Linked DNA regions of Canis lupus familiaris. The protein of the gene in region 5 purifies or fractionates together with the protein of the main gene of each other region. This does not show direct contact. Links are inferred from orthologs where the notes say so. Each region holds a gene or a part of one and is shown on either strand. Other genes may lie near its edges. The genes, in order: PFDN4, PFDN6, VBP1, PFDN2 and MAPK7.

What was found.
Region 1: the proteins of MAPK7 (region 5) and PFDN4 purify together in Homo sapiens (affinity purification with mass spectrometry; 3 studies listed by BioGRID and IntAct, with this or other methods). This does not show direct contact. The link is inferred for Canis lupus familiaris from reciprocal best matches to the Homo sapiens genes MAPK7 and PFDN4.
Region 2: the proteins of MAPK7 (region 5) and PFDN6 purify together in Homo sapiens (affinity purification with mass spectrometry; 3 studies listed by BioGRID and IntAct, with this or other methods). This does not show direct contact. The link is inferred for Canis lupus familiaris from reciprocal best matches to the Homo sapiens genes MAPK7 and PFDN6.
Region 3: the proteins of MAPK7 (region 5) and VBP1 purify together in Homo sapiens (affinity purification with mass spectrometry; 3 studies listed by BioGRID and IntAct, with this or other methods). This does not show direct contact. The link is inferred for Canis lupus familiaris from reciprocal best matches to the Homo sapiens genes MAPK7 and VBP1.
Region 4: the proteins of MAPK7 (region 5) and PFDN2 purify together in Homo sapiens (affinity purification with mass spectrometry; 3 studies listed by BioGRID and IntAct, with this or other methods). This does not show direct contact. The link is inferred for Canis lupus familiaris from reciprocal best matches to the Homo sapiens genes MAPK7 and PFDN2.

Annotation. Positions count from the first base shown.
Region 1 is NC_049245.1:40,578,132-40,580,720, forward strand, and holds part of PFDN4 (prefoldin subunit 4), read left to right. Parts: intron 1-920; coding exon 921-1,061; intron 1,062-2,589. UniProt on the Homo sapiens protein: Binds specifically to cytosolic chaperonin (c-CPN) and transfers target proteins to it. Binds to nascent polypeptide chain and promotes folding in an environment in which there are many competing pathways for nonnative proteins.
Region 2 is NC_049233.1:2,883,254-2,886,200, forward strand, and holds PFDN6 (prefoldin subunit 6), read left to right. Parts: upstream 1-1,149; 5' UTR 1,150-1,191; intron 1,192-1,336; 5' UTR 1,337-1,420; coding exon 1,421-1,484; intron 1,485-1,734; coding exon 1,735-1,805; intron 1,806-1,884; coding exon 1,885-2,009; intron 2,010-2,215; coding exon 2,216-2,345; 3' UTR 2,346-2,446; downstream 2,447-2,947. Other genes in the region: WDR46 (WD repeat-containing protein 46), read right to left, coding at 1-33, 178-258, 367-579, 681-749. UniProt on the Homo sapiens protein: Binds specifically to cytosolic chaperonin (c-CPN) and transfers target proteins to it. Binds to nascent polypeptide chain and promotes folding in an environment in which there are many competing pathways for nonnative proteins.
Region 3 is NC_049260.1:124,321,895-124,326,080, forward strand, and holds the start of VBP1 (prefoldin subunit 3), read left to right. Parts: upstream 1-1,374; 5' UTR 1,375-1,437; coding exon 1,438-1,530; intron 1,531-1,711; exon of another isoform or gene 1,712-1,765; coding exon of another isoform or gene 1,766-1,831; intron 1,832-4,186. UniProt on the Homo sapiens protein: Binds specifically to cytosolic chaperonin (c-CPN) and transfers target proteins to it. Binds to nascent polypeptide chain and promotes folding in an environment in which there are many competing pathways for nonnative proteins.
Region 4 is NC_049259.1:22,194,557-22,197,339, forward strand, and holds the end of PFDN2 (prefoldin subunit 2), read left to right. Parts: intron 1-938; coding exon 939-1,027; intron 1,028-1,140; coding exon 1,141-1,264; intron 1,265-1,964; coding exon 1,965-2,141; 3' UTR 2,142-2,268; downstream 2,269-2,783. Other genes in the region: KLHDC9 (kelch domain-containing protein 9), read right to left, coding at 2,582-2,748. UniProt on the Homo sapiens protein: Binds specifically to cytosolic chaperonin (c-CPN) and transfers target proteins to it. Binds to nascent polypeptide chain and promotes folding in an environment in which there are many competing pathways for nonnative proteins.
Region 5 is NC_049226.1:41,048,989-41,053,084, reverse strand, and holds the start of MAPK7 (mitogen-activated protein kinase 7), read left to right. Parts: upstream 1-1,282; 5' UTR 1,283-1,473; intron 1,474-1,767; 5' UTR 1,768-1,772; coding exon 1,773-2,004; intron 2,005-2,628; coding exon 2,629-2,794; intron 2,795-3,399; coding exon 3,400-4,096. UniProt on the Homo sapiens protein: Plays a role in various cellular processes such as proliferation, differentiation and cell survival. The upstream activator of MAPK7 is the MAPK kinase MAP2K5.

The DNA.
Region 1 (2,589 bases), on a different chromosome or scaffold from region 5:
AGCAGGTTCCACGCCCAGCATGGAGCCCAATGTGGCTTTTGATCCCACAACCCCAAGATCACGACCTTAGCTGAAATCAAGAGTCTGATACTTAACCCACTGAACCACCCAAGTGCTTCTGCTATAGCTTTTTAAAACTGAATTCAGTAATACATGATTCTATTTCTCTGGGCCCGTTGTTGCATCTGACATAACCCACTCTAGTTAGTTGAAGAAAAAAAGACCTTGCTTAAGGGATGTGTGAGAACTTCCAGAGTGTTGAGGGGGTGAGCCTGGGCTGGCGCTCCAGGAGCAGACCCCAGAACCGCGTCTCCTGAGAACATGGCTGGTGCTGGAGCTGCTATTGTTTCCAGTGATCCCAGAGCCAGCCGCGTCCTCCAGCACGGGAAGCTGCGCTGCAGACCTGGGAGTGCTGGGTGGCACCCCCGGCCCTCGCCCCAGCCTCTGCCCACTCCCAACTCGGGCCTGTGCTCAGCAGCTCCTATGTGCTCCTCCGAGCTGAGCTCCAGTTCAAGGCCAGTTGACTGGTGGAATGTGGGTTCATAGCTACCTTCATCCTCTCATCGAGCAAGGCTGAGAAATGGAGGTTTGCACTGTTTTCATTCTACCACAGGAGGCAGAACTCACTAGGTGGAAATTGGCGGAGTAGGACACATTTTGCGTGGCCACAGATGCCCGCCGTCCCCCACAGATGCTTTTAGCATTCTGGAAACAGCTAGAGGCAGTGAGTTAGCTTTTAAGCGCTTCCCTAGGAAATGCCATGGAGAAATGTAAGAAAGTCTTATGTGAGTGTGGTGATACCTTTGTGAAAGGGTCTCTCACAGAGTTGGTGTCCCCAGATTAAAGTTGGCTCTTCACCTCCGTCAGGGAATTTTAATTATGAGTGTGCTTTTCATTGCCATTTACTTTTGTGTTTCTAGAAACAACTCCAGAATTTAGAAGATGCTTGTGAGGACATCATGCTTGCAGATGATGATTGCTTAATGATACCTTATCAAATTGGTGATGTTTTCATTAGCCATTCTCAAGAAGAGACACAGGAAATGTTAGAAGAAGCAAAGGTATGCTGGAGTCTTTCCCTGGGTGAGGGAGGCTGACTTCCTTTAGGGTGTGTGTTGTTATGAAGAACACGTTAATTCTAGGTGTAGGGAAATAACGGGGCCTAGGTGATACTGCATGGGTTTTTACAACATCCCGGGCATGCCATGAAATGAAAGCCTTGGAGGCATGATCTTACGTAATCCCAACAAGGGCTCTGGGAGATGCAGAGCCTTCGTCCCAACTTAGAATTGAAGGTCGGGGCTGAGAAAGGTCATGGGACTTACTCAAAGTGACATGGAGGGCCTAGGTAGCCTTTTGACCCCAGAACCCATGCTCTAAACTCACTGTGTGGAAACTATAGAATATTACGGGGTAGAAGACAAAAATCACCTATAATCCTACTACCCAGAGATAAGCACCCATAGTGGACATTTTCATTGGTTCTTATGTTTTCATCTACTCTTTTCTCTGCGTAAGTTTACTTCACATTTTGGTCAGTTAACATTCTACCAGAAGTACTTTCTCATTCTATTTAGTGTTCATTTGTCCAGCACATCTTCACTGAGGGCCTGCTCAGGGCCAAGCACACGTGCTTTTTTTTTTTTTTTTTTTTTTTTTTTTTTATGATAGTCACAGAGAGAGAGAGAGAGAGAGAGAGGCAGAGACACAGGCAGAGGGAGAAGCAGGCTCCATGCACTGGGAGCCTGATGTGGGATTCGATCCCGGGTCTCCAGGATCGCGCCCTGGGCCAAAGGCAGGCGCCAAACCACTGCGCCACCCAGGGATCCCCACGTGCTTTGAAAACATTTCTGATGACTGTCTCACATCATGCGGGTGGACACTGATTCAGTTCACTGCCCTCCTGGTGTTAACATGAATTGGTTCCCAGTATTTTCCTACAGTAATGTTGTAGTGAACATTCTTACACTCAAGTCTTTTTCACGTTTAGGATTCTTTTAGGAAATAATCAGGCAGGTGTCATTACTGGTCAGAGTATGGATTTATGGACAAAATTTGAGGCATTTGAGACATGGTATGAAATTAGTTTCCAATTCACACGCCCTCCAGCTGTCTGTGAGAGGAGCAGTCACGTGCACTTAAGACTGGTAGCTATCAAACATTTTCTCATTCTTTTGAAGTTTGCTTAATTAATATGAATATTATTTAAAATATTAGTCTCTGTTCTTCAAATGTCCTGGAAAGCAAAAATTCCTCTGAATTAAACTCATGTTTAATAAGCCTTGGGAAGAACTAACATTTCTATTCCTGAATCTTTCTATGCAGAAACATTGGTGTTTTCCCTTATGTATAAAACCTTTTTCTTTCACGGTAAAATTTTATAGTTTTGTTCTTTTTTTTTCCCACCATCCTCAGATACTCTTGTGGAATATAGGTTATAGTTTTTGTCACTGCTGTGAACGCACTTCCCTCCCTGTACCCCACACAGACAGTGAACCTTTATTCTGTTGTTCATTCATTTATCCATTCATTCCAGAAGTGTTTGTTGAGTGCTTACTCTGTATCAGGTTCTGCCATGAACCCCGATAC
Region 2 (2,947 bases), on a different chromosome or scaffold from region 5:
TCGGCTTCGTGTTTTCGACTTCGAATGTGGCAGCTATACCAGCGTTGGCAGGAGAGTAATGAAAAAAGAACCAGGTGTTATGTGGGGTGCCAGGAGAGTCACACAGTTCCTCTTCATCCAACTCACTCATATGCTCTCCCAAGCTGCAATCCCTCCTCACTCCCAGCTGGTCCTCACCTTTTTGGATTTGTCAATGCGACGGAACTTGCGAGCCACTTCCTCAGGGATGGGAGCAGGGCCTGGAAATGGATCCTGGGCCTGGGGAAGGAGGAAGCAATTAGCAGACAGGTTAGGGTTGACCCCAACCATCGCACCTGCAAAGTACAAGGCAACTTGCCCCACCACCTTATCAGGTCCCAGGCTCACCCCGGACAAATTTCTCTGAGGCTCAAGATTTCTCTGTTCTCGAGGTTTCTTCGGGAACTGAGGCTTCCCGGGGATCCGAGACTTTTTTGGGAGGTTAATGTTCTTTGGCCTCTGGGGGCGGAGCTCTCGATTCCTTTTCTTGTTACGAGGGGGCCCTGGAGAGGCTCCGGCAGCGGTCAGAGTGGCTTCCTTCTCCCAGTACCTCCGCGGTTTCTACGGGCAGATCACAAGCTCTAACACTCCATAGCCCTCGCCCCCCCACCCCCGGGACCCCGCAGCTAAAAATTTCCCTTCCACCCTAGCGAGGTCTCTACCTTCTTCTTGGTCTGAAGTCTGGCCTTCTTGGGCTGGACATCTCTGCCGGGTTTGGAGGCTGTTTCCATCTAGCCCACCGGAACGACGACCCACGTGCAAACTTCTCTCAGCTGTCCACAGACGGCTCGGAAACTCCCGGAAGCCCGCCGGCCCTCGTCCAATCAGTGCCTACCAGGTCTGAAGCCGTCTGAGCGCCATCTTGAATGAGGGCCCACTCTCTCTCGAGGGGCGGGGCAGGTCTTGGCTCCGCAATCCCGAGCAGCCGCTTATGCCCGAGTAATGAAAGAAAGGTAGTCTGGGGCTGGGGACAAAGTAACGGTGCAGTTTTTTTTTCCAGCTCCGTTTCCCTGTCTTGCCTAAAACCTCCCGGGTCCAGTTTTCTGGGGGAACACCGTTCACTAAACGTGCCAAAACTACAGTTCCCGGCATGCGTCAGAAGACAGCTTCCGGCGCCTTCTTTTCCCAGCATTCTTTGTTTACTTCCAGGTTTAGTAATAGTGAAGCGAGAACGTGAGTATGGCTGGGTTACGGTTGAGGGGCTTGGGGTCTTGCTGCGCCCGCCACCTCCTGGGGCCTGCGTGGAGGGCTCTCTGGGACGAGGAGAGGCTGTGGTGCCCTGGGAGGCTGCCTCGCAAGAGTGCTGTCCTTTCCGCAGGCCGGGCCAGAAAGGGGAGTTTAGGTACCTCCCAGAGTGAGACCCAGCGCCCGCTCCCACTCCCCGCGGGCCTTCGTCCCCGCCATGGCTGAGCTAATCCAGAAGAAGCTACAGGGAGAAGTGGAGAAATATCAGCAGCTACAGAAGGGTAAGGGAGCAGCGTCGGCGCGGCCTCGCCCCAGACCCTTCACTTACAGCCCAAAGCCAAACCAAGATAATATGTTGTGCCCCACTAGAGGCCCCGCGTGCAGCTCCTTCCCCATCTCGGAGCTCGTCCCCACCCACTGACCTGTTGCCGCCTCCTTGTCTACTTCCTCAGCTCCGTTTTCTTCTCACCAGGATTGGGGTTAGGCGGCACATGTGATGTGTTTAATCAACCCTTTCTTCCTAACCCCCAGACTTGAGTAAATCCATGTCGGGGAGACAGAAGCTTGAGGCGCAGCTAACAGAAAATAATATCGTGAAGGAGGTGAGAGAGGGATATGCCGGGCCAGAAGGGACCTGACCTGGAAGTGATTCTGATCTTGTATGTCCCATCCCTCCATCAGGAGCTGGCCCTGCTAGATGGATCCAACGTGGTCTTTAAACTTCTGGGTCCTGTGCTGGTCAAACAGGAGCTGGGAGAGGCTCGTGCCACAGTGGGGAAGAGGCTGGACTATATCACAGCTGAAATGTGAGTCTTTGTTCTGACACCCTGCAAGGCACCGGACGCCCCCAGCGTAGAATGTCGAGGAGCCGTTGGAGTAGTTCCAGGGTAGCCCTGTCTGATCTGCTTCCTCAAACCCTCCACGGGGAGTCCAGGAGAGTCCAACCCTTCAGCACCCTCAAGAGTAAATCCCATCAATTTCTCATTTGCTTGTCTCTCTTGCCTCTCTTCAGTAAGCGATACGAATCCCAGCTCCGGGACCTTGAGCGGCAGTCAGAGCAACAGAGGGAGACCCTGGCTCAGCTGCAGCAGGAGTTCCAGAGGGCCCAGGCAGCCAAGGCAGGGGCTTCTGGGAAGGCCTGACCCCATGGGGGGGGGAGGGAATGAGGCAGCTCAAGGGTCTATGCTGTAGCTAATAAAATGTGAAAACCCCTGGCTGTTTTCTGACCAGCCACTTCCTGTCATGATGGTCTCTTCCTTGGGCCCCTTCAACTTTATATATATGCCACCTGCATTACTCTGTTCGGTCCCAATTCTCGTGACTGGAATTGCCACAGAGTAATCCTCCTTTTTTCACTGAGACTAAAATCTGAAACGTCTCACACCTACTTGCCTATATACACTACGCTTGCCTTGGTTGGCATGCCCCTTAGGAAACATGAGAAGAGCATTTACCACGCAATGATCATTGGGAAGGCCAGTTTAACTACAGAGCTCACGGTAATCTAAACTGAGACCCCAGGGTGAAATGTGGTGACCCTCTTGCTATGCTTTCTTGTCATCCTCCAGAAAGCCCCAGCATCTTAGTCTCATTCTAGAATTTGTTTGAATGAAGTTTAGGCTGATTTAAAATCCCAGCATGGAACACTTTGTGATGTTGTAAGGCCCTCAAGTTTATACGTTATCCACAAAGTCATTCTTCCATTTCTTTGTCCTAAAATTGTTTCTTACAAATGTCCAACCAC
Region 3 (4,186 bases), on a different chromosome or scaffold from region 5:
ATATGTGACTCTTATGACAGTAATCCTATTATCTTACAAATGGTTCATTTTTTTAGAGGGTGGAAGGTCAGAGGGAGAGGGAGACAGAATGTCAGGCCGGCTGCAGCCCAGCTCTGAGCCCACCGTGGAGCCTGTGGGGAGGCTCCATCCCACCACCCTGAAATCACGACCTGAGCTTGAAATCAAGTCTCACGCTTAACGACTGAGCCACCCCGGCACCACACAAATGGCTCATTTTTAAGATTCTTTTTTTTTTTAATTTTTTATTTATTTATGATAGTCACAGAGAGAGAAAGCGAGGCAGAGACACAGGCAGAGAGAAGCGGGCTCCATGCACCGGGAGCCCGATGTGGGAATCGATCCCGGGTCTCCAGGATCGCTCCCTAGGCCAAAGGCAGGCGCCAAACCGCTGCGCCACCCAGGGATCCCTAAGATTCTTTAGTTGTGTGTAAACTATGGGTGATAATAGTCCCTCTCAGCCAGAGCTTGCGGGGATTAGATAGCATGACTCAGTGGCTGGCACATAGGTAGATTTTAAGACATGTCAATCACGATTATTACTACATACGTATCCCCACTGAGTAAGGGAACTAACATCCTTTATTCATAATCGGGCTGCCTGGGTAGGGTTTGTGCGAGCGGATGCAGCAGCGCTTCACAGCGAAGCCCTGAGAGCAAGCAGAGGCGGGAGGAACGGGGTGGTTAGTTGTTGGAAAAGACACCAGAGCCTAAGTACGTAGGAGTGTGTAGCGCACTTGCTTTCAAAGGGTCGTGGTGGCGGGCGGTGTTGGGGCCGTCCGTCAGGCTGGAAGCCTCACAAGGGTCCTTAGGCTCCTCTATGTAGAATAGAGTCGTGAGACGTCTGAATTGGGGTGGCAACATGCTGGTCAAGGGTGGCTTTCGGGAAAGGCTGGTGCAGTGGGCGGGGTATTAAACTCGGGCCAGTGGCTCCACTCCGAAACGGACCCTCTGACAGCCGGGATGCTCGTCGGGATGGTGGGACCAGAAAGACACCAAGAGCACGGCCCCGCCTTGTCCTCTAGGTCGCAGACTCACTAGTAGCTGCTTGGGGCTGGGGTCGCTTCTGGGGTCATTCTGGAAGGCGCTGCCCGTTCCCGGGTGGTGCTCAGGTCTCTTCCCAGGGTCCGCAAGCCCGCCCTCGGAGCCACGGATCCTCCCCGGAGGCCGCATTGGTTCTTCCCGCACAGCCAGCGTCTCCTCGCGGCGCTTCCTGGCTCGTCACTCATCGTGCGCAGCCAATCAGCGCCCAAAGGCTGGCGAGTCGTCGCAGCTAGAAGGGGCGGCTACTTCCGGCGCGCCTGTGAACGCGCCGATCGCGCAGGCGCGGGGGCGGGCCGGCGGCTGCCAGCGAGCCAATCAGGGGCCAGCAGTGCCGGAGGCTCGCAAGGCCATTAGGCGTGCGCTCGCTTCTCCAAGATGGCGACCGCTAAGGACGGTTGTGGCTTGGGAGAAGTGGCCACGGGGAATGGGCGGCGGCTCCACCTGGGGATTCCGGAGGCCGTGTTTGTGGTAAGAGGCACGCTGGTCCTCGGCGTCTTGACGCTAGGCCGCGGGCTCCCCCTTCCTTCCCGGCCTCCATCCCGGCCTCGGCCACTGGGGGAGGAGTTGGGGTAGTGGATGCGGGAGGGAGGATGGTGCAGCGCACCGCTCTGACGGGCCGCCCCCCGGACGGCGGGTTTCGGCCTCCGCTGCTTGGGAAGGCAGAGCGGGGGGCGGCGAGAAGCCGGGAGGGACTTGAGCCAGGATGCCGGAGTGCCCGGCGGTTGCCCGGGGCTTAGGGTGCGGTGAGGACGCGGGGGCTGGCGCTCAGGTGTGCTGACGCGGAATCCCAGCCAGTCCGCCGCGGGGCTGCGGGGCCGCAAGGGGGGCGGCGAAGGGAGGACGGGGTCACGCGTGAAGGCCTCGCGTGTCCTGCTGGGAATCGAGTTCATCCGGCGGCCGGCGGGCTGTCGCTGTAAGGTGGCGCGGTGTGGTCAGGTTCGCTTAGCGCGCATCGTTCTAACAACCGTGCGGAGCGCTTGGTGTGCGCTTGGGAGCGGGGACACAGCCTAGACAGTGTCTTTCCGTTAGGCTGTTCTGGAAAGAGTGTTTCACAGCTGTTTGAATAAGGAAGGAAAACCCGACTGGCCTTCAGGGCAGTAGCATCTGTCTTTCCTCACTCGGTTCTGACCGACCTCCACTATACAGTATTAACGGAATTTTCTCGACCTTTGGCTTGTATCTATATTGCCTTGTATTCCCTTTTTGGTTGGTGATACGTTCCGACGTTCAAGATATCCATTTCTTTTATTCTTTATTTAGACCACTTGCATCTACAGTCTGCTTTGCACGTGTGCCTTTGCCGATTCAGTTTTGTGGTTCTTTTCCTTTGTTATTTTGTGTTTCCTCCGTGAGCTGTGCCATTTATTTGTTTGCATTCATTTCCCAGCTAATGGTAATGAGGAAAATTTTGCTGAGTGCCGGGCACTTTCTTAGTGCTTTTACAAAAAGCGACGAGATGGGTATTATTATGGGTGATGAAGCGGAGGGACTCGACTCACTCGGTCCCAAGTCATGGAGTGTGTAAGCAGGTTCTCCAGGGATTCGAACTGGAGCAGTCCGTGGAATATCAGAGCCCCTACTTACGTGTTCTGCGAGTGGGAGGAAAGCGAGGTACTCATGTTGGCTCAGGGCTGCTTCTCCTGGTCCTCGGGCGACACAGGGATACGTAGTAAAAGCTCACGACTAGATGTTGAATTCAATTTCTAGAGTGCTGTATATAGTATGTTCTGGGTCCTTGGCTACAGATGGCTTCAAAAATCTAATTCAGGAGCATACACTGTATCTGAGGTTTTATAAACTCTTATCTTAAAATGCCTTTCCCTCTAAAATAGCTGTGGGTTATTTTTTCTAGACATTAAAATTTCTACCAACACGGTATGATGTCTTAGCAAGCCAAACTTTATGTAATGTGAATAACATGGTATTGGAGAAAGAACTTTGGCTTCTTAATAGACCAGGGTTTGAATCCTGCCTCTACTTCCCGATCGCTGCTTGGTCTTGGGCATGTTGTTTTACCACTTTGAGCCTCTGTTATTTTCATGGAAAAAGGATGACAGTATTTAAAGAATTGCTACGAGAAGCAATATGTGCTTTCAGTATAACAAGTAGATACTTGATATATATTAATTCCTGTGATGATAGGAGGTCATATACTTTACTGGTTAAAAGTCAGACCTCATTGGGACGCCCGGGTGGCTCAGTGGTTGAGTCTCTGCCTTTGGCTCAGGGCGTGACCGCAGGGTCCTGGGATCGAATCTGGTGTGGCTCTCCCTGCACGGAGCCTGCTTCTCCCTCTGCCTGTGTCTCTGCCTCTCTCTCTGTGTCTCTCATGAGTAAATAAGTAAAATATTATAAAAAATTCTAGTAATTCTAGTTATTTTACAGTAGAGTCTATATGAGTATTGAATTTTACCTAAAATGAGACAGAATATAGCTCTTTTCCGCTGTTAACAGCCTATTGTTCTTTAGCTTATTGAATTTATTAGAAAATGCAAGAAAATGTTAAATATTAGTCATGAAAGCGAGCATTCCTCTCTACTCTGTGATTTACCTGAAATCTTAATATTTTGTTATTCAGAATGTTTGCTGTTTGTTTGTTTTTGCCTTTGTTACTTCTATTCGAATTAGCCATAAAACTTTTTAAACAGATGTATTTATTTTAGAGAGAGAGAGAGAGAGAGTGTGTGTGTGTGTGTGTGTGTGTGTGTGAGCCGGAGGGGCAGAGAGAGTGAGAGAGACAACCGTGGGGACCCCCTGTGGAGCGGGGAGCCTGACTTGGGGCTCTATCCCATGACCTGAGATGACCCGAACAGAAATCCAGAGTTAGCTACTTAACTGACTGAGCCACCCAGGCGCCCTGCCGTAAAACTTTTTATTACAGATTACTTCAGCATCTTTTATGATCTAAATTTTATTCTTTTAATATGTTGATTGACAGATGGATGATTTAATATGATGATTGACAGATTTCTTGCAGTTGAATAGTGCCCTTACACCCTTGTAGTACGATCTAATGTTCCTATGATTTGATTATTGCTGCATTCTATGTGCTGATATTTCTTGAAGCACTGTGTGCATGCCTTCCTACCACCCGCCATGGTAGACCAGTCCTCTGTGCCTTTAC
Region 4 (2,783 bases), on a different chromosome or scaffold from region 5:
TCCCTCTGCCTGTGTCTCTGCCTCTCTCTCTCTCTGTGACTATCATAAATAAATAAAAATTAAAAAAATAAAAAATAAATAAAATAAATAAAAAAAAATAAAAACAATAAAAATAAAAAGTTCAAGAACTAGGGCAGCTTTGAGGGTTTCAAGAGAGGGATGGGGGATCCCTGGGTGGCGCAGCGGTTTGGCGCCTGCCTTTGGCCCAGGGCGCGATCCTGGAGACCCGGGATCGAATCCCACATCGGGCTCCCGGTGCATGGAGCCTGCTTCTCCCTCTGCCTGTGTCTCTGCCTCTCTCTCTCTCTCTCTCTGTGACTATCATAAATAAATAAAAATTAAAAAAAAAAAAAAAAAAGAGAGGGATGGAGGATCATCTCTATAGGACATCTAGTTGTCTTCACTCCAGCTGTCTCTGTACCTGTTTGTCTCTACCCCAGAGTCAGTTCCTGAACAGACACTCTGGTGCAGAATAGGTCACTGCCCCTGTGGACTGCCCCTGTGGTCAGGGAGCAAGGGTCCTGTGAATAGTAGCCCCACAAGCACCCCCTGAGCTAAGGAAGGCAGTTCCCCTGTGGGAGGAATGCTGGGTAGAGCCAAACGAGAGTACTCCCTACAAAGCCTTTTCCTAGAGCCTTCTTTACCTGCAAGTCTGAGCTCCTCTGCAGGTGCTCCAGGAGCTCCCCACCCATCCTGTATTATAAATGCCTATTCGTCACCACACAGAAGCTGCGAGAAGGACTGGTTAAGTTCCCCCACAGAATAGACTCTCGGTAAGTGTTTAGTGAATGGAATTTCAGACAGACTACAGGTAGAAATTACAGACTTGGACCTACTCCTGTTCCAAGGTAGGTATCCAGAGCTTGCCATCCTGTGTTGTTTTTTGAGCCTCAGCCATGTCCACTGTCTCCTCTCTCACTTAACTCTCATCTTCCAAGGTTATCGCTGGCTTCAACCGTCTTCGGCAGGAGCAGCGGGGTCTGGCATCCAAAGCAGCTGAGCTGGAGATGGAGTTGAATGAGCACAGGTGAGGAGGTCGGGGAGCACCGGTCAGTAGGAAAGTTGGAGAGGCCATTTGTAAGGGAAGGCTGCAGCAGAGAGGGGCCGCATTCTCAGATCTGCCTTGTCCCCGTGCCGCAGCCTGGTGATTGACACCTTGAAGGAGGTCGATGAGGCCCGCAGGTGCTACCGAATGGTTGGGGGCGTGCTGGTGGAGCGGACTGTCAAAGAGGTGCTGCCTGCCCTGGAGAACAACAAGGAGCAGGTGAGCAGGAGTCCTCCAGTAGAAGCTTTGGGAGCAAAGGGGAGGGGGGGCCAGGATTTAGGGAACGTGGTATAAGCAAGTGGGTGGGAACCCATGGCGAAGACCGCATGAAAGGCCCGTTAGCCATGCTTTTTATGCTTTAGTAAGTCGAACTCCTCTGACAGGAGAGGCTGCTGGCTGTCCGCCTTTTTCCCTGCGCTCTGTGGCCTGGCTGATTTGGGGGAGAGGCGGCAGTGAGAGCAGTGTGTCTCACAGTGTGGTCCATGGGTACTTGCATCCAGGTCACCTGGAGAACTGATTTAAAATGCAGTTTCCTGGACCCACTGATTCAGAACAGTTAGAGGTAAGGCCTATAGAGTGGCCTTTTTTTTTTTTTTTTTTTTCTTTTAAGTAATCTCTGTGCCCTACGTGGGGCTTGAACCCACAACCCCGAAACCAAGAGTTGCATGTTCTACCAACTGTGCCAGCTGCCCATGGAGTGGCATTTTAAAAACAAACAGCCCAAGTGATTCTTGTGTACATTGTAGTTCATAAATCATTGTATTTGAGAAAGGCATACTTTTAGTCTTTGGACTCCACTATCAATACTTGGTGAGGCTAAAGGTATCATCCCTCCTTCACATCCTCCAGCCATAGTCTATACCAGGTAGGGGAAGGGAGTCCTGAAATCCTCATATAATCCCTGTCGCTTGGCCTCTAGATACAGAAGATCATTGAGACCCTTACACAGCAGCTTCAGGCAAAAGGAAGAGAATTAAATGAATTCCGGGAAAAGCACAACATTCGTCTCATGGGGGAAGATGAGAAGCCAGCAGCCAAGGAGAACTCAGAAGGGGCTGGGGCTAAGTCCAGCTCAGCTGGAGTGTTGGTCTCCTAGGAACCAAGGTGTTTGCATTTTTTTCTACCCTGACTCCCACTTCTAATTTCTCTTTATTGTTATTATTATTATTTTCTCTGCTATTGTAATATTTTTTGTTAATTAAATGTTTTGGTCAGAATGCTTAGCTCTAGCCTGAAGCTTTCTCCCAATATGAGGGGCGGGATCTGCATGAGGCATGGAAAAGCCTATGACTTGTGGGGCTTGGTTCCATCAGGCTAATGGCTCACAGTATCAGAGGAGGTCCCATATTTTATCCTTCCCCTTGCAAATAAAGATGTGTCTACTTGTTTACTGCCCTCCCCCAAAAAAGAATCACAAACAAATGTTGACTCAGATTGAAATTTAATAAGCATTTGAAATGAGGCAGATAGGTCTGGGGGCAATGCTTTATGAGTCTGCAACAAAACAGGCGTGACAGTGCGTCTTGGCACTATTCTTTAGATAAATAGGTCCAGGATGCAAACCTGTGGACTGGGTGTCCTGCCATCCTCACCAAAGCCCCCAACCAGGTAAAGCTGATCGTTCCAAAGGCAGGTCCGGTGGCCCACACGTTTCAGCCCACGGTCTGCACAGGGGAAGTGAAACCACAGAGGAGGGGACTTTCCTGTTGGGTAAGAGAGAGGGTGCTAAGAGGCAGTA
Region 5 (4,096 bases):
ATAGAGAAGAGAGAGGCAGAGACACAGGCAGAGGGTGAAGCAGGCTCCATGCAGGGAGCACGATGCGGGACTCGATCCCAGGACCTCGGGGTCACGACCTGAGCGGAAGGCAGACGCTCAACCACTGAGCCATCCAGGCGTCCCCAAAACAAAGATTTTTTAAAAGTCTCTAGGCTTGCCAAAATTCATTTCTGGTCTGGACCCACTTTTCAGCCTCTAGTCCGTGATGTTAAGGAACAGACCCTGGACCTGGCACTCAGAGTCTCTACCCACCGAGCACTACTCGGGGCCAAGGAAGAGCCCCGAGCCCCCGTTCCTCTGCTTCGCAGTCTCCGTACCTTCGCCTCGACTCCCCAGCTTTCTTCTCACGTGGCGGCACCACCCCCTTTGCTCCAAAAGGCTGCTCCTCACTGCACCACCTGGAGCTCCCCGCTGCAAACCTTGCCTCCGCGCAAAGGTTCGGACGGCCCCGCCCCGAAGTCGCCGCTGCCTTCTCAGGGAAGGCTCTACCAATCAGCCACCGGGCCGTGGAGCGGGGCGGGCACCTGGACCCCGCGCAGGGGTAGAGGCCGGACGCCCCGCCCGCTGTCCCCCTGAGCTCGGCAGCAGCCCGCGGCGCGGGAGCCCTGCGACGGAGCCACCCAGCGGAGGGACCACGGCGGAGGCCGGGAAAACCCGAGCAGAGGCCCCGGCCGCCGGAAGCTCAGCCGCCGGAAGTCAGTGGCGGCTTCAGGCCGGGCGCTCTAGAATCCCGGAGGCCCAGGGTCTCTGTGGTTGGATGCGTCCGATCACTCTCTACTCTGGGTGGCGCCTTCCCGGAGCTCCCGGGACCGATGGGGAAAATGAGGAGGTGGTGCATAATTCCTCGGGCGATGAGGACTGACAGGGGAGCAGGGGCCTCAACGAGGGGGATTTCTTGAGCCGGCCGACGAGGTAACAGACCCACGCGCCGGAGCGCCGCCGCAGCCCCGGGACCTGCCGCAGTCAACCCCGCGGATGGCGGTGCGCACGCACGCACGGGGGCGTTGCCTTCCATTAGCGCGGCGCCCGGGGCTGCTAGCGCGCATGCGTCAGAAGACTGAGCCGGGCGGGGAGCCTGCGAAGCGCCGAGCGCCCTTTGGGCGGCTCCTGCGGGCAAGCTGGACAGCGGCGGGCGCGCGCGCGGGCGGGCGCGCGCGGGGGCGTGGTTTCCTCTGCAGGTGGCCTCGGATTGGACGCAGCAAGTCGGAGGGGTGGGAACCTCCGCAGAGAGCGCCCAGCGATTGGCCAGGGGCTGGAGGGAGCGTGATCTTGGGAGGCGGGGCGGGGGGACCGGCGGGGCAGAGCGCGGCGCTGAGGTGGTGGCGGCGGCCTTGAACAAGTGAGCGAGCGACTCTCGGAGTATCCCTCCACGGGGAACGGGAGCCCGGGGACGCAGGGAGCGCCGGCGACCTCCGAAGGCCGGGAGGACGCGTCGGAGTGAGGTGCCATTCGGTGAGTGTTGACCGAGAAAAGCGAAGTGCCCCGCCCCTCCCTTTCTTCCTGGACCGCGCCTGGCGGCGCCTCCCCCACCTCCCACCCTGCATTCCACCCTGGACCTGAGCTCTGGGTTCCAAGTCCGGGTGTGGGACGACTACTACGTGCCAGCCGCTCTCTTTCGCTCCCTACCTGGCCCCCGCTGGCTGAGGGAACTTGGAAATTCCCTGGTCCTGCTCCCCAGCCTCCCAGATGGGAAACTGAGGCCAGGGAGCGGGCGGCGGGCCCCTCCTCACCAGCGTCTCCACACAGACGCCATGGCTGAACCCCTGAAGGAGGAAGAGGGCGACGACGGTTCTGGGGAGCCCCCCGGGCCGGTGAAGGCGGAACCCACCAACAACGCTGCCTGTGTAGCGGCCAAGAACCTGGCCCTGCTCAAAGCCCGCTCCTTCGATGTGACCTTCGACGTGGGGGACGAGTACGAGATCATCGAGACCATAGGCAACGGGGCCTATGGGGTGGTGTCCTCCGCGCGCCGCCGTCTCACCGGTGAGCTTCCCCGTTGTGCACCGCTTACAGATGTGGAAGCGGGCCCCAGAGAGTGAGAAACCTGCCCCGTCTCAGCCCGGAAGGAAAGCTGGGATCCAAATTCTGGATCAAGTCAGCAGATACCGGTTAGGTGCCTCCTGGATGCCGGGGTCTGTGTTGGGCTCGGTTCTCTGAAACTGCTATGGTGGTTTTGCCTATTTCTTTAGAAGAGTGGCAATCTCAGACCAGAATGCAGATCCTGTCTTTGGTTTCTAAAAGTCTTTGGAGCCAGAGACTGGTGTAAGGAATTGGTGGTGGGATGGGTAAGGTCTGAGATGGACAGAGTGTAGGGAGGTAGTTGAGCACAGGCATTAGAATCGAGCCTACCACTAACTCCAACAAGTTGCTGAGCCAGGTTTTCATCATTTTCAGCTTTGAGCCGTTGGTATCCATCTCAGGATAGATGTGAAGGGAAAATCTGATAACATCCGTAAGGTGCTTAGTGCAGGCCTTGGCATGTAGTAGGTTCTTGCTATTCAGTATATGGTAACAGCCTTCTAGAAGGAAGATGTTGAAAGGGGCCTTTTGCCAATCTGCAGCTACTCTAAGGTACCTCATGGTATCTGCCTTTTCCCTGCTCCCCAGGCCAGCAGGTGGCCATTAAGAAGATCCCTAATGCTTTTGACGTGGTCACCAATGCCAAGCGGACCCTCAGGGAGCTGAAGATTCTCAAACACTTCAAGCACGACAACATCATCGCCATCAAGGACATCTTGAGGCCCACTGTGCCCTATGGGGAGTTCAAATCTGTGTAAGGAGCAGGGACGGAAGAGGAAGGCAGAGGTGGGATCTGAAGTTTTCAAAGGGCAACTGAACCTAATGTAAGGCAGGCTGGGAAAGTTCCCATTATTCCAGGACCAGTGTCCCTTAGGGCTTTGCTGGGGACAGCTGCAGTTGCTCAAGAAGAGTGCAGGTGGTTACCGGTGGTTACTGTTTTATAGAATCTTGGTAGGTAGAACCAATATAAGATGTTCATATAGTAACTGCACTCTTCTACTCTCATAGCAGATATTGCTAGTCAATCATAGAGCATTTTCTTCAAAAAAATGGGTAAGCCTTCACAGTTTTCAGAGTCTTTCAGGCAGCTATACCAAACAATGGAGATGGCCTCCAAACTAAACTTATTGGCCAGCCCTGGTTTAGTCCAACCCCATCTTTTCTTTGATGGGGAAACTAGATCTAGAGAGAAGAGTGACCTAACTTCATGGAAACATTAGAGAAAATCTAGAATCTTCATACCATCCCATTGGCCCCTGCGGCACGTGAAGATGAGGCTATTACCTGTCGAGCCGGGAGGCTGGAGTGAGGCTGGAGTGTGGGCGAGGTAGCCATGCTTATCTTTCTTGTCCCCTCTAGCTATGTGGTCCTGGACCTGATGGAGAGTGACCTGCACCAGATCATCCACTCCTCCCAGCCACTCACTCTGGAGCACGTGCGCTACTTCCTGTATCAGCTGCTTCGGGGCCTCAAGTACATGCACTCGGCTCAGGTCATCCACCGCGACCTCAAGCCCTCCAACCTGTTGGTGAATGAGAATTGTGAGCTCAAGATTGGCGACTTTGGCATGGCCCGTGGCCTGTGCACCTCGCCTGCTGAACACCAGTACTTCATGACTGAGTATGTGGCCACACGCTGGTACCGTGCTCCTGAGCTCATGCTCTCACTGCACGAGTACACACAGGCTATCGACCTGTGGTCTGTGGGCTGCATCTTTGGTGAGATGCTAGCCCGGCGCCAGCTCTTCCCAGGCAAAAATTATGTACACCAGCTGCAGCTGATCATGATGGTGCTGGGTACCCCGTCGCCAGCTGTAATCCAGGCTGTGGGGGCTGAGAGAGTGCGGGCCTACATCCAGAGCCTGCCACCACGTCAGGCTGTGCCCTGGGAGACAGTGTATCCAGGCGCCGACCGCCAGGCCCTGTCACTGCTGGGACGCATGTTGCGTTTCGAGCCTAGCGCCCGCATCTCTGCAGCTGCTGCCCTTCGCCACCCCTTCCTGGCCAAGTACCATGACCCTGATGATGAGCCTGACTGTGCCCCACCTTTTGATTTT